Macaca fascicularis: one gene and its partner. The protein of the gene in region 1 interacts with the protein of each later gene in a pairwise test. Links are inferred from orthologs where the notes say so. Each region holds a gene or a part of one and is shown on either strand. Other genes may lie near its edges.

What was found.
Region 2: the proteins of BMX (region 1) and PTPN21 interact in binary tests that used the Homo sapiens proteins (3 or more experiments, as listed by UniProt). The link is inferred for Macaca fascicularis from reciprocal best matches to the Homo sapiens genes BMX and PTPN21.

The regions. Positions count from the first base shown.
Region 1 is NC_088395.1:15,309,110-15,313,170, reverse strand, and holds the start of BMX (cytoplasmic tyrosine-protein kinase BMX), read right to left. Parts: upstream 2,806-4,061; 5' UTR 2,675-2,805; coding exon 2,672-2,674; intron 1-2,671. UniProt on the Homo sapiens protein: Non-receptor tyrosine kinase that plays central but diverse modulatory roles in various signaling processes involved in the regulation of actin reorganization, cell migration, cell proliferation and survival, cell adhesion, and apoptosis.
Region 2 is NC_088381.1:156,520,956-156,524,473, forward strand, and holds part of PTPN21 (tyrosine-protein phosphatase non-receptor type 21), read right to left. Parts: intron 2,967-3,518; exon of another isoform or gene 2,812-2,966; intron 2,119-2,811; 5' UTR 1,920-2,118; coding exon 1,740-1,919; intron 1-1,739.

The DNA.
Region 1 (4,061 bases):
GTCATTTTACAGATGTAACACTGAGCCCCAGCAGCCTAAGTGACTTAGCCAGTACCATTAACAAGTGCTCTAAGAGGCATGGCCCTGGGAGCCAGCTTCAGGTGTCATACCTGTACAACGTCCACTCCACCGATGGCAGTAAACAGAGTAGGAGATATCTATGTGTTCAGCCAAACATACTACAGCTTTGCTAAGGGACATAGTTTGGTGAAACTACCCATGAATTTGAGTCTTAACAGACCCGTGCAAGAGACATTTTATTGGATATATCAGAACGATGTTACCTATAATCTTTCAATAGGAATCTCCTGCTGAAAGGCAGTGTTAAATAACAAAATTTGAAACCACATTTTGAAAATAGGTAAGAACATACAACCTCAAAAGTTGGAATAAATTCTCAGTGGTACAGAAGGGGAGCAGGAGACAGGATGCCAAGGGAGATAGGGTTATCTAGTTAAATGTCCATTGGATAGTTCCCTCAACCAGGAAGTGTATTCCCTCACTGACTCAGGGTGGTGCCTTTAAAGATTTATCCTTTAAAATTCAGAGATAAGGATAGCAATTCCTTACCCTTTGACTTGGTTTAGTTATCCTCTCTTACTTTACATGCCATGTAGCTAAAGATTTTGGGAGGTGTCAAGATGTTAAAATAATACATGTGGTGGGAAGGCAGTAGAGCAGGAAGGGTGGGAAAGAAAGGGAAGACGCTCCAAGTGGGGCAGGATCTGGAAGGGAAACTGGAGGGCCCTGTGACAAACTTGATCTTCAAATATTTGCCCAAATGCCAGGCCTGCTTATCTTCCTGCTAAATAACTGAACAAAATGTGATGGTAAGTTTAAACAAGAACAAAATGTTTGACTGATAATCAAGTAAAGTGGTTCCAAAAGTCTTATGATGCTGGCCAAAGACAAATACTGGCTTCACAGAACCTGACAGATCCTTATTTCCCATGATGTTATTCAGGAGAGGGAAAGTTAAAGTTGATCTTGGCATGATATGGACAGAAATCTTTTAACATTGACAGTCAAATTCTCAGCATCTTGGAGCATCACACCTTAATTGATCCAAAATGAGTGTATAAAAACCAGACACTTTGGGAAGATCATTTTCTCACAAAGAAGGCAAGAATCTTAATGCTAGTCCTTTTGGAGCTAAGTTTTGCTTTAGGTGTGAGATTAATCTTCAGTGTCCCATAGAGCTTTTCTAAGTCTTTTCCTCTTTTCACTACCCTCTTTCTTTCTGCTCCCTCTCCTCTGCCTAGGGCACTCTCTCTGGGCACCTTCCTTAGGAGAAAAGCAAAAAGCAATAAATCCATGAGCTAGCATCTCATGCTGAATTAAACATGTTACACTGCTTATGTGATGCACGTTGGCGTGAGTGAAAGCAGCGAGCTGGGTTCGAATCCCTGCTCTGTCTCTGTGCAACCTGTCATGTTACTTAACCCAGCTAAACCTCAGCTTCCCCATCTGTAAAGGCAGTGAAACAATAACCACTTCGAAAGGTTATGAGTAGTCGAGAAGATGGCAGCCTAATGCCCAACACCCTAGTAGGTGTCCTAAAAACTTATGTCCCTTCTCATTGCTCCATAGGCAAAGTTTTAAAAAAGACCATAGCAAAGTTAAAAAACTAAAGACAATGAAATGATAATGATCCTTAATGATAAAATTTTACTTCCCATTCCTCTGTCCCCAGCTCCTGTGGATAGGAGATAATGGGAGGCAGGAAGACCTCCTCATGTATTGTCATGTCAACACCAGTCCATAGCAGCTTTGTAGCAGACTTTCCAGCTTGAGACGAGTTACCATAAAATGAGGTTGAACCAGCCCCTTATTGACTGTGTATCTGTGCCACATATGTCCTACAAATAAATACTTGGATGTGACTCAAAGTGTGGTCCGTGCACTTGCATCATCCGGGCGTTCATTAGACATGCAGACTCTCATTTCCCACCTGAGACCTCGCACAGCCAAATCTTCATTTTAGCAAGATCCCCAGGCGATCCATGTGCACAGGAAAGTTTGAGAAGCACTTATATGGACCACAAAGTTATACTCCTTTACAAATCCAATGAAATCATTGTGGCCCACAAAATCTTTTAAAATTATATGGATGTGAGTACAACTGTATGGTTTACCTCCCTCCCATCTGTCTATCTCCATCTAAAATACATAAAGCACTTGATTTAGAGAGACCTCAGGAACCTAAGAGCAAATATTTGTAGCTAAAGTAACATCATAAAAACACAGGTAAAGAAGGTACAAGGAACACTTCTATGTCTCTTTGTAAGCAGTTATGAGGCCAATATGAAAAGCTGTGGAAAGGCAATACCTAAAGAAGAGGATGGAGAAAATTAGCAGAGAATACAGCACAAAGTTAGATACAACTGGTGGTGATATGTACACAACCTGATAGCTTCCCTAACTGAGATTTTGAGCAAGGAGTGAATTTTTACAGTGAAATTACAGCAGTTTCAGCCGTTGGCCTCCAAATTACCTGGTCCCATCTAAAGTCCCAGAGGAAGCCCTAGTAATTTCATATTCAAAATGTTGTACTATTTTTCTTAAAGTGAGCTTCCCAAAGTTTGTAACTTCAGGCCCCACAACACCGGGAACCAAACCTATTTTCCCCATAGTATATGACACTGAGTAGCCACCTGCCGCTTAAACGCACCATCTCGGCTTGTTCCGTGCTTGCCTGGGTCCGCCGTGGTGGTTGGTCTGCTCTTGCAGGAACACAGCTCCAGCTGTCCTGTTTCCAGAAGCAAATTGTTTCACATTTTCCTGGCTGCCGGGTCAGAAATGGCTACATTACTCAGTGCCCCCAACACATTTATTGTCCTACAGAGCCTTACACAATCCCACAGGAAACCACGCTCAACACTTAGCCAACACTTGTTGATCTGATTGAACGCAACAAAAACGGAGACAAAAGCATACTTCATAAAGGTTAAAATTTTGATAACTATAGCTCCCGCTTTTCCCAGGCAGCTCTCGGGTACATGTGATAACCCTGCCTTTGTTTGTAGAGCTCTGTGCTGGAAAGGACAAGAAAACATCTCGGCAAAACCCGACTGCTGACGCTGACTTCTCTCACACGAGCCAGGAAACCATTAGGTAATGCCAAAGCGCACAGAGAATATGCAATGAAAACTTCAACTCAACATTTGGACAAAGGAAGGCCAGAGAATACGTAAGAACAGTTCATATGATGGAAAAGGAGCTTATTTATATATTTTAAATTATTAAGACATCCAGAAATGGAAAATAGATTGTTTTTTCTAAGGTATGGTACACCCTGATCGCAATGAAAAAGTGTGTCACTTGACATCATTATGACAGACTCACAACTTTTGGCTTCCCCCATTCCACCATTTTCTCTGGTGCATACTGACTGGCCTTTTGTAATAAATCTAAGGGCATATTTTATGTCCTGCTATGGATAGCCAAGAGAAGTAATCATCCTTTTGCCATGCATTGACACATTGTGTTTACTTATAAATTGTTGCTTACTGTAACTTATTTGTAAGTATCTATGATGTGAAGAAGTCTTGGGTTGGCAGAAGAGAGTGAAGCTACTGACTTTCAAAGAGGTATTCTTTTGAGTGTACATGGAATTAGCATCATTTCTATTAATTTGTTCAGTCAGGTCTTATTTGAGAACCTGCCATGTGCTGAGCATTCCGTGAGGGCCTAGAGACACAAGAGCAAACAGAAGAGAAGCAGCCCACATCTTCAAGGGGCTTATGTGTATGTGTGTGGGTGGGGGAGCCACAAGTAATGGTTTAATTACAGTAGAGTGTGGGAAAAATAACTTGCAGAAATATTTTTTAATATTTCAGTTTGGAAACTGGAATTTTGGGAAGGGCAAGGAGTCCTTCACAAGAATTCAAAAGAGTGTAACTTACATTCTAATAGCAAATTAAAGTCACTGATGGATTCCAAATAGCTCTCTATTCTTTAGGAATATAGTAGGTAGTCATTCAAAAAATTAAGGGTGAAGCAGGGCAACAGTAGCATAACAACCTGGCCAAATAAATTAATTCTACACTCTGCTAATTAAT
Region 2 (3,518 bases), on another chromosome or scaffold:
CCTTCCCTTTGCTGCACCTCCCTCTGGCCTATGGCACAACCTCTACTTCCCTTATCACAGCATGCATCATGCCTGTTTTCTTATTGGCAACAACACCAGGGTGAGCTTCCAAGTATGTATGTGCTTGGCACTTATGCGTCTTCAGTACTGAGTTCTCATATAAGTGACTGGATGGTCACCAGGAGAAAGTTCATCTATTCCTGACTTTTTAGGTGGAATAACCAGTTTCTCTAGCTTTCCCTTACCCCAGAACCAGGCAGCCAAAGGTAGGGAGGGTCCTAGGTTTAATTAGAGACCTTTCTTCACAGGCCTTGCATAACATTTTAAATTTAAGATATTATACGGATACATAAGTACTCCATAACTTCCTACCAACTAGATTAGGGGTTTCCTAGGCAAACCTCCCAATCAGTACTCTAACAGTTAGTAGAGCTTATGGCCTTATGCTACTCTGAGAATTAGGTGTCACAGTCATCCCCATGCTTCAGATGGAGAACCGGGGCTCAGAGATATCACATAACTTGCCCAAGGTAATATAGAAGCAGATGGTAAGGAAACTAGAACTCAAACTGAGTTCAGGCAATATGTCTCTAGAACCTTGATCTGACCTATAAGAATATAGTCAATGAATTTTCTGTTTACTCAATGAATGTTGAAAGAATGAAGTCAGGAGCTGGACATGGTGGCACATGCCTATTGCGGGAGGATCACTTGAGCCTAGGAATTTGAAACCAACCTGGGCAACATAGCTAGACCTTGCGTCTAAAAAAATAAAAATGAACAAAAAAGAAAGAATGAAGTCAGTAAACTGTACTAGAGATAGGGATGACCTAGTATATCATAGGGGGTATATTAGAAAATATGAAATTTGAACAACCCAGAGTGTATTCACATTTGATTCTGGATTACGTTTAGGGGGGAATATAAACATATTCAAAATAAGAACCATTAGTTATTATACGGCACCCCAAGGGAAGACTTCTTGCTCTAATCTATTCCTGCTTCATGAGGAGAGAACCTACAGGCTCAACTCAGACATCCCAGCCAGGGACACACAGTGAGTGGCCAGTGGGCTAGAACACACAGCCAGCATGCCGAACAGAGAAGCCTGCAGTGTCTTTTTTTTTTTTTTTTCTTTTTTTGAGACAGTTTCGCTGATGTTGCCCAGGTTGGAGTGCAGTGGTGAGCTCTTAGCTCACTGCAACCTCCACCTCCTGGGTATAAGCAATTCTCCTGCCTCAGCCTCCCCAGTAGCTGGGATTACAGGGGCCCACCACCAGGCCCAGCTAATTTTTTTTTTTTTTTTTTTTGAGCTGGTGTCTTGCTCTGTAGCCCAGGCTAGAGTGCAGTGGCACAATCTCGGCTCACTGTAGCCTCTGCCTCCCAGGTTCAAGTGATTCTCCTGCCTCAGCCTCCCGAGTAGCTGGGACTACAGGTGCCCACCACCACATCCGCTAATTTTTGTATTTTTGGTAGAGATGGGGTTTCACCATATTAGCCAGGCTGGTCTCGAACTCCTGACCTTGTGATTCGCCAGCCTCGGCCTCCCAAAGTGCTGGGATTACAGGCGTGAGCCACCGCGCCCGGCCTTGTATTTTTAGTAAAGACGAGGTTTCACCATGTTGGCCAGGCTGGTCTAGAACTCCTGACCTCAGGTGATCCACCCGCCTCGGTCTCTCAGTGCTGGGATTATAGGCGTGAGCCACCCGCGCCCAGCCTGCAGTCTTTAGGTGGCTTACCTCCCGCAGCTCCAGCCTCTGGGCCACGGCCTCGAGGCTTTCCTGGCCAGTGCTCTCCACGGACAGGGTGAACTCCACAAACTCGTTATTAAGCAGCTGGATCCGGGCAACCAGGCAGCTCTTGCTAGACACCGTGTAGCGCCGGGTGCGTTTCAGTTTCAACCCAAATGGCAGTGGCATCTTCTTTCTTCAAGAGTGGAGGCGCAAAGAGGGAAAAGCTACCCCCACCAACCCAGCGGTGGTGACGCCAGGAGAAATCAATCCTCTCCGAATGGGACGAACACTGTCCGGCCTCCAGCTGCTCACCCAGCAGCCGCTGCCGCCATTAAAAAGCAACGGAGTCTCCAATGGCCCGAGGAAGTGAGCATCGACGCCAGCGCTGGGGAAAGAGGAACGCCGTTACTTAAGCAAAGGTAACGCTGGGCTTTGCTTAATATAAAGAAAAGCCAGTCAAGCTGTGTCCAAATAATAAGCCGTCCCCACCCGCTGGAAAAAGGAGGCACTAACAGGACCCGGGAGGCAGGGTGGAATTTTATCTCAGAGTTGTGTTGGGCTCAGGGTCAGACTCCACCCTTCACTGTATCCTACAAATAGGGATAGCAAGCTAGGCCATCGTCAGGATTAAATGAGATAATGGCCAGCACTACTATAATCCCAAATGTTAGTATTCGTGGTCCTCTTCCTATTTTGGATAAGGTGGTGTTTCTTCATAGGTAACTCTTTCAGGTTGTAGTACTCCAAATGTCAGAGTTCTTTAGTTCTTAAGTGAGAAAAGTGCAAAATACCCCCAAAAGAGCTAGATTCCAGTCCCAATCCCTTTAGAAAATTAACGCTGAAGGCAAATGGGAGGAATAATCCCCACTAAGAATGGCAGGTGTGTGGTTCAGACGCGGTGAGGTGCCTAACAAGCGCTTGTGGAAGTATTCACGTCATCAAATTGATTTACTGATAAACATCATAAAATACCCTACAAATGCTCGTTATCCATTCATTTACCACTGGAAGAGTGGCAGTTCTGAAAATCCAGACCCCGGCCCCTCTCCAGGGTGGGGACGCCCAAACAGGCCTTCACCTAAGCGGAGCCGCGGCCCAGAAGGGGAGGCGGGCGAGGCCTTCCACGCCATCCTGAGTTAATGAGCGGCTGGGGGGGCAACAAACGCAGGAAGCCCACGGGGCCTTGGAGCACTCAGGCCCCGGCTTCTTCCGCGTCCTCCCCTTGGGAAGAGCAAGCGGCGTTGCCAGGACAACCAGTAGACTCGGAGGCTCCGGAACCCTCTTTCTGCAGCCGCGTTTCTGGACGGACGCGCTCTAAAAGGACCGGTCCCTCTGCTCCCGAAAGAAACATTTAAAGGGACCAGCGCGAGCCCTACTGGCGGTGGAGAGGTTGTCATACCCGCTTTGGAGCCACAGGACCTCGAAATACGCTCCTTACAACGTGTTTTATAGAGCGAAGTCTTGCTATGCCACCCAGGCTGGACTGCAGTGGTGCCATCGTAGCTCACCGCAGCCTCGAACACCTGGGCTCAAGCGATCCTCCCGCCTCAGCCTCCCGGGTAGCTGGGACCACAGGTGCGCGCCACCACGCCGGGCTCTAACCGAGTTTTTAACCAGACCTGTTGATGGCAACTTCTGGGCTGAGGCAAATGGGAGCGAGCACCAGCTGGGAATTTTTGTATCAGCTGGATTAGTTTTTTTTCCCCCTAGACGAGTCTACAAAATCCCGGATATTTCCAGGGTCCTGAGACGGTTCCCCACCTTCTTCTGCGCAGAGGTTGCCTG